3 linked regions of the Schizosaccharomyces pombe genome follow. The gene in region 2 interacts genetically with the main gene of each other region. Each region holds a gene or a part of one and is shown on either strand. Other genes may lie near its edges.

Evidence for each region.
Region 1: mutations in csm1 (region 2) and cut3 are lethal when combined (synthetic lethality), as found in Schizosaccharomyces pombe (one study listed by BioGRID).
Region 3: mutations in csm1 (region 2) and hmt1 are lethal when combined (synthetic lethality), as found in Schizosaccharomyces pombe (2 studies listed by BioGRID, with this or other methods).

What each region holds. Positions count from the first base shown.
Region 1 is NC_003423.3:1,000,916-1,008,592, reverse strand, and holds cut3 (condensin complex SMC subunit Smc4), read left to right. Parts: upstream 1-2,069; 5' UTR 2,070-2,129; coding exon 2,130-6,104; 3' UTR 6,105-6,330; downstream 6,331-7,677. Other genes in the region: erv2 (sulfhydryl oxidase), read right to left, coding at 1-575; SPOM_SPBC146.02 (uncharacterized protein), read right to left, coding at 6,791-7,582. UniProt on the Schizosaccharomyces pombe protein: Central component of the condensin complex, a complex required for conversion of interphase chromatin into mitotic-like condense chromosomes.
Region 2 is NC_003424.3:5,284,595-5,288,946, reverse strand, and holds csm1 (microtubule-site clamp monopolin complex subunit Csm1/Pcs1), read right to left. Parts: upstream 2,838-4,352; 5' UTR 2,818-2,837; coding exon 2,766-2,817; exon of another isoform or gene 2,727-2,765; coding exon 2,385-2,726; intron 2,339-2,384; coding exon 2,126-2,338; exon of another isoform or gene 2,071-2,125; coding exon 1,892-2,070; 3' UTR 1,657-1,891; downstream 1-1,656. Other genes in the region: SEA complex subunit Sea3, read right to left, coding at 1-555; ubiquitin-conjugating enzyme Ubc13, read left to right, coding at 866-892, 935-1,096, 1,249-1,333, 1,391-1,563; Munc family exocytic/endocytic regulator Ync13, read left to right, coding at 3,248-3,330, 3,377-4,352. UniProt on the Schizosaccharomyces pombe protein: The monopolin-like pcs1/mde4 complex is essential for accurate chromosome segregation during mitosis and meiosis II. May clamp together microtubule binding sites on the same kinetochore, preventing merotelic attachment of microtubules.
Region 3 is NC_003421.2:1,913,471-1,919,833, forward strand, and holds hmt1 (vacuolar phytochelatin and glutathione S-conjugate ABC family transmembrane transporter Hmt1), read right to left. Parts: upstream 4,202-6,363; 5' UTR 4,073-4,201; coding exon 3,875-4,072; intron 3,753-3,874; coding exon 1,458-3,752; 3' UTR 1,286-1,457; downstream 1-1,285. Other genes in the region: mdn1 (midasin), read left to right, coding at 1-1,187; mug24 (rrm type RNA-binding protein), read left to right, coding at 5,812-6,363. UniProt on the Schizosaccharomyces pombe protein: Involved in metal tolerance. Probably involved in the transport of metal-bound phytochelatins. Compartmentalizes cadmium within vacuoles, thereby protecting cells from cadmium toxicity.

The sequences.
Region 1 (7,677 bases), on a different chromosome or scaffold from region 2:
CCAGAATAGTCGTGATCTTCGTTAATTACTTGTACCCGTTCAGGAACATTTTCAGCTTCGCTTTCGCGATAGGTCGGCGATCCGATTACATATCTCTCATTAAATCCATCGCATGATGTCTTTGGTTGATTCATTTTCTCATTTAATTGATTGTGTACTTTGCAAGCCCACGTAGTTGCTGCTTTTCGAGAACTTGTTTGTGGAGGATGTACATCTAGTATCTTTTGGAGTTCCACAGAGTATTCACCACATGGCATTGTAATAGCGGAAGAAAATAGATAATGTCTTAAGATATCTCGCTCATCTAATGTTGGTCTGTTTGGATAATTGGAAACAACCGTATGAATTAACTTCCAGTATGCATTTACCATTAAATTATTCGTGTTATTATCGTGCTTCGTGGACATCATCTCAATTGGTTTTCTACCTTGACCTTCTCGATCCGGAAGCGATTTAATTTCAGGCATAAACAGACGCCAATCTTTGTCTACCATAACACTGTGAAAGATCCATATAATAAACGATAAGATTAGTAGGGTAGGGAGAATCACCTGAATTCTTCTATTAAGGATCATGTTTTATAGTATTTAGCTACTTCGTTTTCCCCGTAAGAACACCTTCATCTACCAAATTAATTGTAAAGGAGAACTGCAAGGACAGAAACTCACGCGGCTTTTTTGATCTGATATGCGGCATCGCTATGTTGCAATAACGAGAAGGAATTGATGGTAAACAAAACTAACCTCCTGGGTTATACAGAGCGAGTGCATCGTTATATCTAATGCTAATTAACAGAAAAACTTTTAAAGTAGTAAGATGGAACAGGCTGCTGGATGATCCAATGCATTACCAAATTGATTTAGATAAATGTATTGCCAACCCTTTAATTTTTTTTTTAGATATTAAATATCTTTTATATCAATTCTATATGCTTTTTATTTTAAGACTCAGAAGAGTTTTAATTATAAGTATAGTTAATAGTTAATAAATATGTAGTTTAGTGATAGAGATATAACCAAATAACAACAAAAAAATTAACTAAAGTATCATTATTATAAAGTCCATTGCTAGGTTTTATCACTATAAAATTTTTTTTAAGTTTGGAATTATTTACTAAAAAAAAGAAACTTAACGTAAATAAATAAAAACTAAGAGGACTTGTTAGTTTTTGTTTAAAAAATAAATAAATAAATAAAGAAGGAAGAGTTTAGCTAAGTTATCAAGTGAGCATAGATAGCATATAATAATCTATGTTTACAGATTTAAATGTTTTAAAGATAAATTACTTGCAATTGCTTGAAGATATGAATTTGCGTTTGATTAGTTTAAATCAAAATGTAAGAATTTTGGGTTAAATTAACATATGGCAAAAGGCTTGTCAAGTTTAAAGCTAAAAAAATACAAAACAATAGTGAATTTGAAAAGTTGTTCTAAAAAACTTGGACAAATCGTTTCCTTGCATTAACATTTCATTTAAAGAGCTAATCTATTTATATTACTTACTGATTATTCTTTATTCGTGGTTATTTCACACATAGGGCTACCCAAACAAGGTAAATTTTTGCGTCGTCTTGCTAGATTTAATGAAGGAATACAGAACAAAAAATCTTTGAGCTTTATATTTATTGTGTGAATTGAAAGAGGATGTTTGCTTGTGCTAGTAAAAACTTAGAAACAGCAATGTATTCTGCTCGTCCTTTTAATATTTTGCTAGTGTAAAGTGTCAGAGCAATATTCTCTTTTACTTAATTTTCGTTTTGAGTTAACTTTCAACGTCCAAGAATACCAAATTGACTAGCATAATAATTTAATGTATAATAGACACATGAGTTTATAATTACAGGTAAAAAGATGTTTGAAGTCTTCCTTTAAATCAGGTGTGTAGGTATAAAATAAATAGATCATTTTCATCTAACATGACCTGTTTACACAATTATACTTCAGTCTTTAGTTTATAAACATGGGCTTTAGTGTAATTTAACTGTGGGTTTTTGTATATTTTATTCATTAATTGACTTCATCGTTGGGTGAAATGCTGTTCAACCGTTGTAAACAACACACCTCTTTTCACGACCACCCACTCTTTTAGAATTTTAAGTAATATATAATTTGTTGAAGATACTATCTTTATGTCTGACAAGGGCATCTTTCGAACGTCTTCAACACCCTCGATTGTGGATGTTACGCCAGATCGTGGTGAAAGGCCACGAAAGTTGGTTCGCTCAGTGCTAGAATCTCCTTCTCAGAAAGATGTCGCATCAATTGTCAAGATAGAGCAAACACCATCTCGCCCATTTTTCAATGACTTTTTAAAAAAAAGAATTACCGATTCTTTAAACGAACGCCCTAATTTGCTCAACAAATTTATGTCTGCTCAAGATGGCACTCCATCTAAATCAACAGGTTTCAATGAACGGAGTTCACAACTTGTGTCAGAATTTACTACTACAGAGGATATTGAGAATTGTGAAGAAACCACTCAGGTTCTTCCTCCTAGACTGGTTGTTTACGAGCTACGCCTAACAAATTTTAAATCATATGCAGGAACTCAGATAGTGGGTCCGTTTCATCCTTCTTTTTCTTCAATTGTTGGACCAAATGGCTCTGGGAAATCTAATGTTATCGATGCTTTACTTTTTGTTTTCGGTTTTCGTGCTAGTAAACTTAGGCAATCCAAAGCGTCTGCCTTAATTCATAAATCTGCAACTCATCCTTCTCTCGATAGTTGTGATGTCGAAATTACTTTTAAAGAGGTAAACTCTGACTTTACTTATGTTGATGGAAGCGAACTAACAGTTCGTCGTACTGCTTATAAAAATAATACTAGTAAATACTTTGTAAATGGGGTTGAGAGTTCCTTTTCTGCAGTTTCTAATCTTTTAAAGGAGAAAGGAATAGACTTGAATCATAAGAGATTTTTAATTCTTCAAGGAGAAGTCGAATCAATAGCGCAAATGAAGCCCCGGGCTATATCAGAAGGTGATGATGGTCTTCTTGAATATCTTGAAGATATCATCGGAACCTCGAAATATAAGCCAATTATAGAAGAGAATATGCAAGAACTTTCGAATTCTGATGATATCTGTGCTGAGAAAGAATCTCGTTTAAAACTGGTGCTCTCTGAAAAGGCGAAATTAGAAGATAGCAAAAATTCGGTTCTTTCTTTTCTCAAAGACGAAAATGAGTTGTTTATGAAACAGAATCAGCTTTACCGTACTATTCTATACGAAACACGCAATAAAAAGACGTTAGTTCAAAACTTGCTTAATAGTTTGGAAGGAAAATTACAAGCACATTTAGAGAAATTTGAACAAACCGAGCGAGATATTTCGGAAAAAAATGAAGAGGTTAAATCATTGCGTGAAAAGGCAGCAAAAGTAAAAAACGATTGTACTTCAGAGAAGAAAACTCGCCAGTCTTATGAACAACAGACTGTGAAGATTGAAGAGCAGTTAAAATTTTTACTTAATAAAGAAAAAAAGTTAAAGAAATCCATTGAGGCTCTTTCATTCGAAAAATCAGAAGCAGAAAATTCTTTAAGCTCTCATGATATTGATTCCCAAAAGTTGAATTCTGAAATTGCCGATCTCAGTTTAAGACTTCAACAGGAAGAATTGAGTTTGGATGACATTAGGAAAAGTCTACAGGGAAAAACGGAAGGTATTTCAAATGCTATTGAAGAAAAGCAAAAGGCTATGGCTCCCGCCCTCGAGAAAATAAACCAATTGACATCAGAAAAACAAATTTTACAGGTTGAGTTGGATATGTTATTAAATAAAGAAAATGATCTAATTAACGATGTTGAGTCCTCTCAATCTTCGCTTGATAAACTGCGTAATGATGCAGAAGAAAATCGGAATATCCTGTCTTCTAAGCTTAAAGTGCTTTCCGACCTAAAAGGAGAGAAGAAAGATGTTAGTAAGAACATTGAAAGAAAGAAGGAAACTGTTCACAATACTTACCGAAATCTTATGTCAAACAGAACAAAGTTGGAGGAGATGAAAGCTTCTTTAAGTTCTTCTAGATCTCGTGGAAATGTGTTAGAAAGTCTTCAAAGACTTCATGAATCTGATAATTTAAATGGTTTCTTTGGACGTCTTGGTGATTTGGCTACAATTGACGAGGCTTATGATGTGGCCATTTCAACTGCCTGTCCTGCTTTAAATCATATTGTAGTTGACAATATTGAAACTGGACAGAAATGTGTGGCTTTTCTGCGCTCCAATAACCTAGGCCGTGCTAGTTTTATTATTCTCAAAGAACTGGCGCAGAAAAATTTAGCTCGTATCCAAACACCTGAGAATGTTCCCCGGCTCTTCGACTTACTTCGGTTTAATGATCAGAAATTCGCTCCTGCGTTTTATAACGTTTTGCAGAATACCTTAGTTGCTAAAAATTTGGAACAGGCTAATAGAATTGCGTATGGCAAAACACGTTGGAGAGTTGTTACACTAAGTGGTCAGTTAATTGATAAATCGGGCACAATGACTGGAGGTGGTACTCGAGTAAAGAAAGGCGGAATGTCCTCAGCTATAACGAGTGATGTATCGCCGGCTTCAGTTGAGACTTGTGATAAACAAGTGCAACTAGAAGACACTCGATATCGCCAACACCTAAGTGAGCTGGAGAGCCTTAATCAGCGATTTACTGAAATTTCGGAACGTATTCCATCGGCGGAACTAGAGATTTCAAAGCTGCAGCTTGACGTTTCTGCTTGTGATAGATTGGTAGCTGGAGAAGAGAGGCGAATCTTGCAGCTTAAATCCGATTTAAAAAGTATTAGAAACAACAATGAACGTAAACGGAATCTCCAAAACAAAATATCAAATATGGACAAGGAAGTTGAGGCCATAAATATTAACAATGAAGGCCTTGTCACTGAAATTAAGACGTTACAAGATAAGATCATGGAAATAGGTGGGATTCGATATCGTATACAAAAATCAAAGGTCGACGATTTGCATGAGCAACTCAAATTTGTTAAAGACAAGCTTAACAAAATGAGTTTCAAGAAGAAGAAGAATGAGCAACGCAGTCAATCTTTCCAAGTTGAACTATCAAACCTTACTAGCGAGTACGATACAACTACTGAAAGTATAGCCACTTTAAAGACTGAACTACAATCGTTAAACAAGTATGTGGATGAACACAAATCTCGGCTCCGCGAATTTGAAAATGCTCTATGGGACATCAATTCCTCTATCGACGAACTAGTAAAATTTATTGAATTTGAATCTAAGCAAATGAATTCCGTTAAAGCAGAAAGGATTGAATTGGAAAATCAAATTCAAGAGCAGCGTACGGCATTATCAGAGGTCGGCAATAATGAAAATAAATATTTAAAGCTCATGTCAAATCTGAAGTTACACAATTTGACTGAATTTTGTGACCAGACAACAATGGACTCAACTTTTCCCGAATATTCTGAAGATGAACTGAGTTCAGTTGATAAAAGCGAGCTGGTCTCTAATATTTCAGTCTTGAAAAAGAAAACTGAAGACAGAGAAGTAGATATCAATGTTTTGTCTGAATATCGTAGATGTAACAAGGAAGCAGAAAAGCGTGATTCTGATTACCAAAGTGAATTGCAAAAAAGAACCGATTTGAAAAAAGTCGTTACAGATCTTCAATCTCAGAGGCTCGATGAGTTTATGTACGGATTTGGAATTATATCTATGAAGCTTAAAGAAATGTATCAAATTATTACTATGGGCGGAAACGCAGAGCTTGAGTTAGTGGATAGTTTGGATCCGTTTTCTGAGGGGGTATTGTTTAGTGTGATGCCTCCCAAAAAATCTTGGAAGAACATATCTAACCTTTCGGGAGGAGAGAAGACGTTAAGTTCTCTAGCCCTTGTCTTTGCTCTACATAATTACAAACCGACTCCTTTATACGTTATGGACGAAATCGATGCTGCATTAGACTTTAAAAACGTTTCGATTGTTGCGAATTACATTAAGGAAAGAACTAAAAACGCGCAGTTTATTGTTATTTCTTTAAGAAGTAATATGTTTGAGTTATCTTCTCGTTTGGTTGGCATTTATAAAACGGCGAATATGACTAAGAGTGTCACAATCAACAACAAGGAAATACTTACAGATTAACTGCACATTCAAATAAAAACGTAGAAAATTGGAAACTAGATATTTAATAATTTACGAATTTTTGGCTACTGAATGTCAGTGTTTCATAATTCACAGTGTGCATACTAATAAATCTATGTTATGAGAAGATTAAACTAATTTAGTTTTGTGGCACCCAGTTTATGTTAATGTTTCAGAAATCTGTTTATGAACGTAATAGGACTACAAATATATAAAATTAATCTTCACTCGCTTTTAAAGCCTGTAAAATCTGCGCAAAGGAATTGTATATAATTAAATATGTTGTTTACATCATCAATTTCAGAAGGTATCTACAATTTGTAGTTACATAGTATAATATTTTAGTGGGTAATGCTTTTAAAGATTTATTGCAATCGTATGCATACCATATAGAACGTATCCAATTTTAAGTAATTTAATTTTATGGTAGTAAATTAAGAATAATTAGAAACAAACAATAAATTAGATTAAACAATATGAGTCGTAAACTTAAATAGGAAATCTCAATGCACACGACGAGATAAATGAAAGACCAATTAACAAGAAAAATGCAAATGATAAAAGCTTTCCAGCTAATAAGAGATAGGAGGACTAAGGAAGAAAGTAATGAAGGAAATAAATGAATGTTAATTACCACATGGCTAGCACCATGTAGCCTAACATGGAGCATCTGAGTAACACTTATTTTATAGCCAGTCGCACTGATGGTGTTCCCACCCATTAAACTCAGTCAAACCCAGGTGCTGAATTTTCCTCTTCGATTTCGATCGGTTTCTTTTAAAGGACAAGCTTGATTCGCCTTTCACAGCAGATTTAAGACGAGAATACGCATCAGAAACTCGGGAAGTAACATTTCTTTTAGAAGGTGTTCTGTCTATTAGTCCCTTGCGAGAGGAAACTTCTTCAATATCGAAAAACTCTATATCATTTGCAGAATTTTTTAAAGTGCTTTTACTACTCCTTCTATTGGCTCGTTTTTGAGCAACAAGCTTCTGAATTGCGGCGCATTCTAATCTGTATTGCGAATTGCTAAGTTCCTCACCAAGTGCACCTCTTGCAAGCCGTGCAGGGGAGGATGGTGAGGCATAACGACTATGGTTTGAAGAAAGACCAAAACCCTGCTTTCCAACGCTGTTTAGCTGTTTCGAAACCGAATATTTATGAAATCTTAACTTTAATGGAGAGATTGGTGAAAGTAAAGGACTTGAATCACCAATGGAGTTCGATGCCGCTTCCAACAGCCATGGCGAATGCTGCGAAATGTTTTTGTCCCAAGGTGATACTGGCGACTTTAACTCTTTATATATGGCATTGATCAGTTCGTCAGATATATGATGTGATAGCTTCAGTGAATTAGAGGTGCTATCTCCAGAACTTGACCTTGTTCTATCGCTTTGATCATCACTGCCATCAATGAAACAGCTGGTTTTTATATTATGGAGTTGCAAGGTTGCTGGTTTTTTCCTTATACCATTCATTGTAAGTTTAAAAGCAATTAATCTGCTTGATAAAAAAATTAATTGACTATTTTGTACTTAATAATGAAGCTAGGAGATCTCTGTATTCAATTATT
Region 2 (4,352 bases):
CCGACCAGAAACACCCTGAGAGTTAAAAGATATTCGACGAGATCCATAACTACCATCGTCAAAAGAAGAAGATGATATGGAAGTTAAACCTTGCAACCTTTGTGTCGGTGTTTGAGAATATGCAACAATGGTACTAGACCTTACACTTTCTGAAAAATTTGCAAAGGAGTTAGAAGCTTTTTTAATTAATATCTTAGAATCGTTTAGCTTATTGTCCAACGTTTCTGAGTGATCTTTAGAGATTGTTGACGATGAAGCTAGTTGATCACCGTCTTGTGCAGTGTTTGATTGAGCGCTTAGAGCAGTGGACGATTCATGGATCATTGATTCAAGACTGTCTTTCTCCAATTCAAAGTTGCATAATTCCCCGCTATCATCCATATTATAGTATGAAGATGGGTTTTCAGAATTAAATTGCTTATTGGGGTAATTCAAGGTACGTTCATCTTGAAGAGATTTCAATGAATGTTCATAATCAATAGGCGAAGAATTTTTTACAACCGAATCACTCGGAGGAGACTTTCTTGAAGAATCGTCTCCCTGTAATTCCCTCATCTTTTTCGATATGGGCCAGGTGACTGTAGCAATTTCAGGATTCTGAATCTTTTTTTTTATAAAAAAACAAATTAAATTTTATACAATATTATGAATATTAATAATAATAAACTAAGAAGCCATGGCTACTTGTCAATTGCTAATACTATTCTTAGCTAGAGCCGTGGAGATTTTATTATCACTCACTATTTGTATTATGTTTTACGTCACTCCTTATATAGAATAGTGTATCAATCTCTCCAGTTTCTCCTTAAACCAAGTACTTATTGTGTGTACAGCATGCATTCTAGGAAGTCCAAGTATATGAACAATGGCTTTGCCTAAGCGTATTATTAAGGTTTGCGCTTTCTGTTAGCATTTTTCAACTAATAATTGGTAGGAAATTGAAACCCTTACGAGAGATCCTCCACCCGGAATTGTAGCGGCTCCCACTGAAGATAATCTTCGCTATTTTAAAATTACTATGGAAGGGCCTCAGCAATCAGCTTATGAAGGTGGAAAATTTCACTTAGAGCTGTTTCTTCCTGATGAGTATCCAATGGTAGGTTTTTTTTGAAAACACAGTATTGAGCCTACCATGGTCCTTTTGCTAGCCCTGCTAGTTCAACAAAAATTTGAAGAATGGCATTGTCAGTTTCAAACTGTCTTCAAAAAATTGTATAATTGTGTAATTTGAGTTTTAACAACTATTAGATGCCTCCCAATGTTCGTTTTCTTACTAAAATTTATCATCCAAACGTTGATAAATTAGGTCGCATATGTTTATCTACGTTAAAAAGTATGTTAAACTTCACACGTTTCATCTTATTTTGGTGTACTAACATTAATAAATCAGAGGATTGGAGTCCTGCTTTACAAATTCGAACCGTGCTACTTTCGATACAGGCATTAATGGGTGCTCCCAACCCAGATGACCCTTTAGACAATGATGTTGCAAAGATTTGGAAAGAAAATGAGCCACAGGCAATTGCAAATGCCCGTGAATGGACGAAAAAGTATGCAGTTTGATTACTTATGATAGTCCAATGCTTATGGTTATCACTAGAATAATAATATATTACGATATCAATAGCTTTCTATATACAGTCTTTGATTTGAATTCTACCCATTTCCTTAAGTTTTTTGCATTCAATTTTTTCCTAAGCGGTTAAGGTCTTTTCGAATAAAAGATGTAAAAATTAATAATAGATAATTATGGTAGCAGAATACAAACATCGCAGCTTTTGACGGACGATGAAAAAAGTGATATCTCGACGAGCACAATTAATTTAAGATATAGTGCTATTCATATAACAAGGAAGTATTAAAGTTTAAGCAAAATCCATAGTTATTATTGTTAATCTTGCAAAGCTTTCATTAATCTAGCAGAAAATAATTTTCCTTGTTCTTTCGTAAAGATAATTTCCTCCAACAAATAGTCTGGTAAATGTTTCATAAGCTCCTCATCAGTTTGAACATTCAGACGTGGAGTAAATGTAAAGTTTTGATCATCTAACAAGAGCTGATATTCGAGTGCTATAATAATATCCTGTTAGCTTGAAATTATTTCTAAATCCCTTAAAGCACTTACTCCCTCTCCTTCCAGTGTTTTTACAGTTGAAACGATATCCATCCTCGTCCTCTATACAGTCTGCAACTTCTAATCCGAAAAGCTCCTTTATAAGTATATTAATTTTTGAATAGTTTTTTATTTGCTCTCGAGTTTTCAATAACTCATTCTTTAACGAATGGTTAGCTTTCTTTTCATTTTCTAGTTCTTTTTTTAAATCTTTGACTATTGTGTCTTCTTGAATGTAAGTAAAAAATTCAGAAATAGGCCTTAGTCTTACCATCAGCGTCAGCGCCAGCATTGGTAACAGGTTTTGCCAAATCTTCAAGTAAATAAAATTCTTGTAGTTCATTAATTTTTCGTATCAGCTTGTTCAGTTCATTGAATTCCTGCTCTTGGGTGTGCGAAAGAGTAGATAACTCTACGTTAGGGAGTTGCAACTTCTTATTCAACTCTGACATCCCGGAATTATTGATATGAAGTTCATTTTCGTTCTCCCTTACACTATATGCATCTTGATCTTCATTATTAACAAAATCCTGAGTTGAATGCATTTGTCCTTGAGAGATGCGTGTACGCTGTTTTGGTAATTTATGAATAAGCTTGGACGATTTTCCTTTAGCTTTGATATGTCAGCTTAATCTACACAGAATAAATATACCTTGTTCTTTTAGTTCACTATCTTTAGATGTTTGCATATTATTTTTTCTCATACTTTGTGGTGGATAGTGTTAACATTAATAATTGATCCTGGTGTGCAAATACATTAAATAAATCTAAAATATATCATAATAACTGTTTTATATTTCTTTCAATATAGTCCTTGAAGCCACTTTATTTTGACCGTCTTAGACGGTGGATTCTTTGGATTAAGCAGAAATTATGCAGTTAGCTTGATTCCAAATACAAGTTGCATTATTGCCTACTAATTTAATATTTTTAACAGATGAGCTACCAAGTCTTTCATAGTAAAATCATGTTTCTTTAATTCTTCTCTGTCATAGATTTCCGATTACACCTCCGCCTATCTCACCATATTTCTCCCACTCAATACATTCTCTAGGCTATTATATATCCTTCGATCCTGTTGCTTAACCTGCAAAGAAACTAAATTAAATATCTTCATTTTATTTTCTAAATGGGATGAATTGTAGACGAAAACCTCTTCCTTTACACTCGAACGAAGTTCAAGCTGCAGAGTCTATAAGTAAAGATGAGCTCTATAGGTTTGTTATTTCATTACTTTTCATTTTAATTAACCAACGTATTTAGCTGGACTTTAAAGAATGTGTTAATCCTGTTCTTAGTACAGTATCGTGCATCTACCCCTTCAGCTCTGCAGACATCATCATTTAGTACACCAGTTGAGAAAAAGACCAATGGGGCATTTTCTGGTAGTCTATTTTCTGCCAAAGAAAAAAAAGATAATCCAAAATATCCCAAGGATTTTATAAAATATTTATCGCTTGCCCTTGAGAGTATTAGTATGGGAAAAGAGCCAGAATATCAAGATCAGTTGATCAGAGGATGTTTCGCAGCATTTTACAATAACATAAACAAATCTCATATATCTAAGCAATTAAAAGACTCGAGGAAAATTGAGGATATGTTTTTGATTTTTGCCAGCTCTGTTTCATCTGAACTTACTAAACGTTTGGGAACAGCTTACGATTCAAATTTAGCAGACAGAATTACTGCTTCCTTTATTGAGTTATGCAAAAGAGTCACGCTTAAAGGCCAATTGGCTTCCCCATCATCTGAATTTGTATCCCATCTTGACATGTATCACTCAAAGCTTCTCAACAAAAGTGAAATACTGAGTACAAAACGCGTTAATAGAGGACAAGATCAATTTGACCTTTCATCTTTTCCTTTGTTAAAAGTTTTTTCGTCAGTATTCAAGGTTGCTTATTCAAAAGCATTGTTGGATGCTGAAAAATTATTTCCCTCAATAGATGAGGCCGCCATAGCTGAAGATATTGGCATTTTAATTGAGGATTTAGAAAGTGATGCTTGTAAATTTTCGCATTCGGTGGTCGATTTTTCTAATTATAAATCATACTCCACTTGGAAAGCTCGTGAACTTCAAACACTAGAACAACATCGTAAAATCATGTTAAGTTTGATTCCTCTTTCTTCATCACCAAATCACCCTATTCAACCGATTGGTTTTCCTGCCAGTAGAAAAACGCCGACATACGTGCCGCCAATAGCGCGGCCTTACTTTCGGCAACTTCTATCGCTATGT
Region 3 (6,363 bases), on a different chromosome or scaffold from region 2:
TGCAAGCTTTGGGAAATGCCGAAAAAGATCAAATTAAGAGTATTGATCGAGATGAGTCTGCTAATCAGAATCCAGACTCAATGAACAGTACAAACATTGCTGAAGATGAAGCTGATGAAGTTGGAGACAAACAATTACAAGATGGTCAGGATATTTCAGATATCAAGCAGACTGGTGAAGATACCCTTCCAACGGAATTTGGGTCTATCAACCAGTCTGAGAAGGTTTTTGAATTATCGGAGGATGAGGATATTGAAGATGAACTTCCTGATTATAATGTGAAGATTACTAACCTTCCTGCTGCAATGCCCATTGATGAAGCTCGTGATTTATGGAATAAACACGAGGACTCTACAAAGCAACTTTCTATTGAGTTATGTGAACAGCTTCGATTGATATTAGAACCAACCTTGGCCACTAAGATGCAAGGAGACTTTCGTACGGGTAAACGGTTGAATATGAAACGAATCATCCCATATATTGCTTCTCAGTTCAAGAAAGACAAGATATGGATGCGTCGTGTTAAACCTAGTAAAAGGACGTATCAAGTGATGATTTCCATTGATGATTCTAAGTCGATGAGTGAGTCGGGCAGCACAGTTCTAGCGTTAGAGACTTTAGCTTTGGTAACAAAAGCATTATCATTACTTGAAGTTGGACAAATTGCAGTGATGAAATTTGGGGAGCAACCTGAATTGTTGCATCCTTTCGACAAACAGTTTTCATCTGAAAGTGGTGTACAAATGTTTTCGCATTTTACATTTGAGCAAAGTAATACCAATGTTTTGGCTCTCGCCGATGCTTCTATGAAATGCTTTAACTATGCCAATACGGCTTCCCATCATAGATCTAACTCGGACATAAGGCAGTTAGAAATCATAATTTCAGACGGTATTTGTGAAGATCATGATAGCATTCGGAAACTGCTAAGGCGTGCTCAAGAAGAAAAAGTGATGATTGTGTTTGTTATTCTTGACAATGTTAACACCCAGAAAAAGTCGTCCATCCTTGATATTAAAAAGGTTTACTACGACACTAAAGAAGATGGTACTATGGATTTAAAAATTCAGCCATATATAGATGAGTTTGCTTTTGATTACTATTTGGTGGTTCGTAACATCGAAGAATTGCCGCAACTTTTGTCTTCTGCACTTCGTCAATGGTTTCAGCAGATGAGTAATACTTAAATTGTACAAAAGCTTTGCAGTTAAGACTTGCAGAAAAAAATAATCGGGTTAGGTTTTGGGATTATTTTTGGTACTTATACATACTACGATTTAATAAATTAATTAATAATAGAAATTCATTGGTATGGAATTTAGTGATAAAATTTTTAGTACCATAATGTTTCTGTGAAAGGAGCAGCATTACTCACAATCAAAGTTAGTGTATTTTAATTCTCCTTTTAAATTAGTCATAACTACCAAAATTAGTAAAGGCTTGTTATTATGCTTAGATTAATGAGTTTCAGCAGAAGTTTTTCCCATTGCTTGTTGAAACCACATTTTTTTGTAAGCTCCGCCGTCACGCTTTATTAACTCTTCGTGTGTGCCAGTCTCAACGATTCTACCATTCGAAATACAAAGAATTAAGTCTGCATTGGTGATGGTGGAGAGCCTGTGAGCGATTACTATAGCAGTTCGGCCAGATGCAAGTCTATTCAAGGCTGCCTGGATTTGTCGCTCAGTATTTGTGTCCAGAGCAGAAGTAGCTTCATCGAGAAGGATAATTGAAGGATCTTTTAAGATAGCTCTGGCAACTGCTACACGTTGTTTTTCACCACCGCTTAACTTTAAGCCTCTTTCTCCGACACGAGAATTATAACCATCTGGGAATTGTAATATACGATCGTGAATTTGAGCAGCCTTAGCAGCAGCATAAATCTCCTCATTGGTCGCAGAAGGTTTAGCATATTTAATATTGTAAAGAATAGTATCATTAAAAAGGGTACTATCTTGGGGAACTACACCTATTGAAGATCGAAGACTAGACAACGTAACATTTCGTATGTCTTGATCATCAATGGTTATGGATCCCGAGTTGACATCGAAGAATCGTAAAAGAATTCTCATAATTGTAGATTTCCCACCACCTGATTCTCCCACTAACGCAATAACTTTTCCTGGTTGTGCAACAAAATTGATATCTGATAAAACAGGTTTTCGTGGATCATATGCAAATGAAACATGAGAGAATATTACCTTACCTTGAGTGACTTTAAGATCTGGGGCATTTGGTTTCTCCACCACAGTAGGTTTCTCCTCAAAAATTTCAAGTAGTCTTTCTGTATCGATGATGCTATTTTGCAATGAACGATATAAAGTTCCGAAAAAATTAAGAGGCTGCTGTAGCTGAATCATGTATGTCAAAAGTATGACAAAATCACCGACAGTGTTAAAGCCGAATGTTACTCTATAAGCACTTAATAGACAAGCAATTGCCAAGCTGAATGTAAATATTCCACCTTGAACGATATTTAAAAAATTAAGGCTAAATAGTACCTTCCGCTCTTGCTTAAGATAAATATCCACAGCATGACCGTATCGTTCATTTTCAAAGTCATCTGCATCAAAATTTTTAACGGTTTCGAAATTCATAATCGCGTCATTTTGCACAGCATAACTCTCGCGCCAGCTATTAACCATCTTTCTTCTAGCCTCGGTACGCCAAGATGTAATTTTGACCGTAACGTAACAGTAACAAAGTGTCATAATTAACACAATAAGCGTAAAATAAATGTCAAACTTAATAAAAAAGTATACCATGGCTACTCCCAAATCCAACAAAACAGGCCCAATCTGAAACACAACTTGTTCTGCAAACGTATTCAACGAACTTCCTTTAGTTAAGGCGGTCAAAACCTCACCAGCACGTTTATTCAAATGAAAATCGTATGACAGGTTTAGAACATGTCTCAAAGCCTTAGTTGATATCGCTCTATAAGCATATTGAGAGACAGGAACCCATAAGAAAGATCGAAGAGAACCAATTACTCCCATATTTCCTTGCAAAAAACGATAGATAACGAATAGAATAACATCAGACCAAGGAATTTTCTCACTATGTTTTGTGAGCTTTTCAGTTAACACACCCAGTTGTCGGGGAGCAAGTATGTTAACAGCTCGCCCCAAAAAGAGTAAAACTATGCAAATGAAAATCTGAAACTGAAGTCGGTAATCTTTTGTCGGCCAGAGATAGGGAAGTAAAGTAGAGAAAGAACGGAAATATTCTGCCCAAGATTTATCACTAGGTTTTTTCGATGTTGATTTGAGTGTACCAAAATTCGAGGTTGATGCCGATACACCGAGCTGAACGGTCGAGGGATTTTGAGAGATAGCATTCTCATTAACGTTTGACTCTTCTGTTAATTGACGCTCCTCAAAATCCAGGGGATCGTGCGTATGTCTCTTTCGTCTATAAGTTAGATATATAGCTGTAGCGAAAACACATAAGACCAATCGGGCTACATGGTCCGCCAATACAATTCCTTGAAATGTTTCATTTGGATGAGGACTGTAGACAATGAAAATTGTTTCAAATACAATGTCTATAGCCCAAACGTACAAGACGCTAAGGCGGTAGGCCTTTAGTATGGAATCCGCATTTTTTGGAAGAGCTTTAGAATCTGCGCATGAGATAAGTACAATTATCCAAAATAAAAGGAAGAGAATTAAACAGACAACAGTGGTTTTACAGGGCCACCAATTTGGAACTCGCAATGCGTAGATGACAAGATTGCTGATATCAACGACCTAAAAATGAAATTAGCAATATGAAGCGAGGTTAAACAATTAAACATAAACATTTTTCTTTCAAAATATACTTATATATATATATATATATATTTTTTAAGAAAAATGCTTGAAATACGTACGTAGGTTAATGCAATTCCCAATATCCACCAGGAAATTATTCCTATAGGTTCTTTGCCGAAGCGATTTTTCCTACGATAAGGATCAGAAGTAGCTTTCCTTTTCTGCAGTAAGTTCAAGGACCCAATACTAAAAAATCCGACATATAGAAGGACCAGCTCAAGAATATTGAGGCGTGGGCTGTTGTAACGTAGAACCATTACAAAAAAATCAAAAAAGAAATGCCAGTTTGATTAATAAAACTTTAGGTAAAAGTAACTTGATAATTTTAAATTGTTACTGCTTCAATTGCTAATTTGGTTTGACTGAGGTTAAGTGGTGTAGAGGTTAAGAGTGACAATGGTGAGGTAAGAATACCTCCTATACGGTACCAAACTACCCCACTTACGGAGCCTTTCGAAAGCAGAAAATCAGTATGAATTTTGTATATTTTGTTTCAACTTTTTTTTTTGTTAAGAGTCTTAACCTCCTTACAAGATCGTAGCTTAAGGCATACATCCTTCATCGGCCACGATAGAGGAACAAATAATGTACTTACTTGTATTGAAAGCTTTACAAATTTCAACGGCATAGTAACAACTTGTAAAGGGTCTTCTTAAAATATAGATAAAAGGCGGCTGAACTTGATGTTGACTGGCAATGTTGGGTATACAAATCTAAAATTGATGAGCTTGAATGCAATAACCTAGTATCTGGAACCTTCGAAAAGTTTTAAAGAAACACGTAACAAATCCTTTTTATTTGAAGAGGCTTTCAAGCAAAAGTTACAATATTTAATTGCATAACACACCTTCAAACTCTGACTTTCGCTAACGGCCTAGAAATGATAAACTCATTAAAGACTTCTATTTTTTAAAATTAATATTTTTAATTAATGGTTGAAATATTCAGAAGAACTTCAAATTTAACTACTTTTAACTTACTGACATCGTTATTTTCTTTCCAAATTTTTTTATCAGATCAAGCCTCAACGTACATCATTGTGACAGAATACAGTCTACACCAATTTATGAATAAGCATTAAGTATAGCCCTAGCCGAACTTTTTTACTATCTAACGAAACGCATCACATTATATAATAGGCTTTATGAAGCTAAAACCTTATGAACCACAATGTCGATAACTTCAAAACAGCAACAATCATGCTAGAAGTGGACGGGCAATTTGAAGCATCTAACACAGTATACGTAATTCTTTAACAATATTTTTGAGTACTCTTCGTAAGGTTGATGGTATTGTTGCCTTGGATCAGTATTTGCATTGCTCGGTATAAGGGATATGGGGGATACCTATCTACTCTTAATTTTGCTCTGGCAGTTTAAAAGGCGGGGGAAGGCTGGCTAATCGTAAATCTTGCACCCAAAAAGTCTATTGGCTCTCGAGGTTTTTATTAAAGGTAATTTCAAGGCTTAGAAATGGCTGTCTACCAGCCCTTTATCATGACTGTACTATTCGCGAGGAATTGGTGGTAGTCACTGTGCAGTCATAATAAGAACCGAATAACTTAAAGGGACAACTATGATTGGACGTAAGTAATTTTAACTATTAAGCCTCGCTAAAATAAGTACATTACGTCGACTTTAGCGAAGAGTGGCAGCGGATTTACCGTCGCATTCGTCGTTTGTGGGCCATCCTGACGTTTTAGAGTTGCAACTTTGTGCCTTTTGATTCGTCCTTCTATTTAAGAAATGTGGGACAGCTTTGCGGGGAATGCTTGCGAAAATAGCAATGTTTACATTTGAAATGGTGCTTAGCTGTTACGAAAACTTGACACGATATGATTTTTTTTATCTATAAATAAGTGTCCCTCTCACCAGTTTTGACCATCGAATACAGCATTTAAATCGATACTAATTTTGAAGCGAAACTCATCAGTCTAAAGCACTCTATATTTTGAAGCATCCATATTCTCACTCAATTCTTTTTTTTTAACACTATAATGGCTATTATGCACAAAATTGGCTGTGCCGGAAGTGAAGTTGAGACCGACCGTGTTCTTGAAAAAGACCAAGCAAACAACGGTCACTTCGTTGATAGTGATTGCTGCTTTCAAGAGACAGGAAGTACTGGCACGGCCAACAGCATTTGCACTTTAAATGATTCAGAAGATGATAACAGTAGTCTTAATTCAGTGGACAATAATGAATGTACCAACCTTGACTGTGGTGGTAAAAAGCACAAAAATCTTTCACCTAATCCTTCTTTCCATGTAAACATCAATGCCGCAGAATTTATTCCGAAATCTCATAATGGGTATGCTCCTAAATCAATGAATCCCCCTCCCGAACAACTCGATTCTCCTTGTTATCCTCATTTTGACCAGGACTCTTCTTCAGTCATTTATCCTTCTCCACCTTCAACCTATTACCCCAACATGTATGTTTCAGCAAACACCTTCATACCGATGCCCTATGCCCACTATACCGACAATATGTATCATGCAAAACCTGTAAACCGTCCAAATTTCCTACCTCGAGAAGGTACTCCTCCT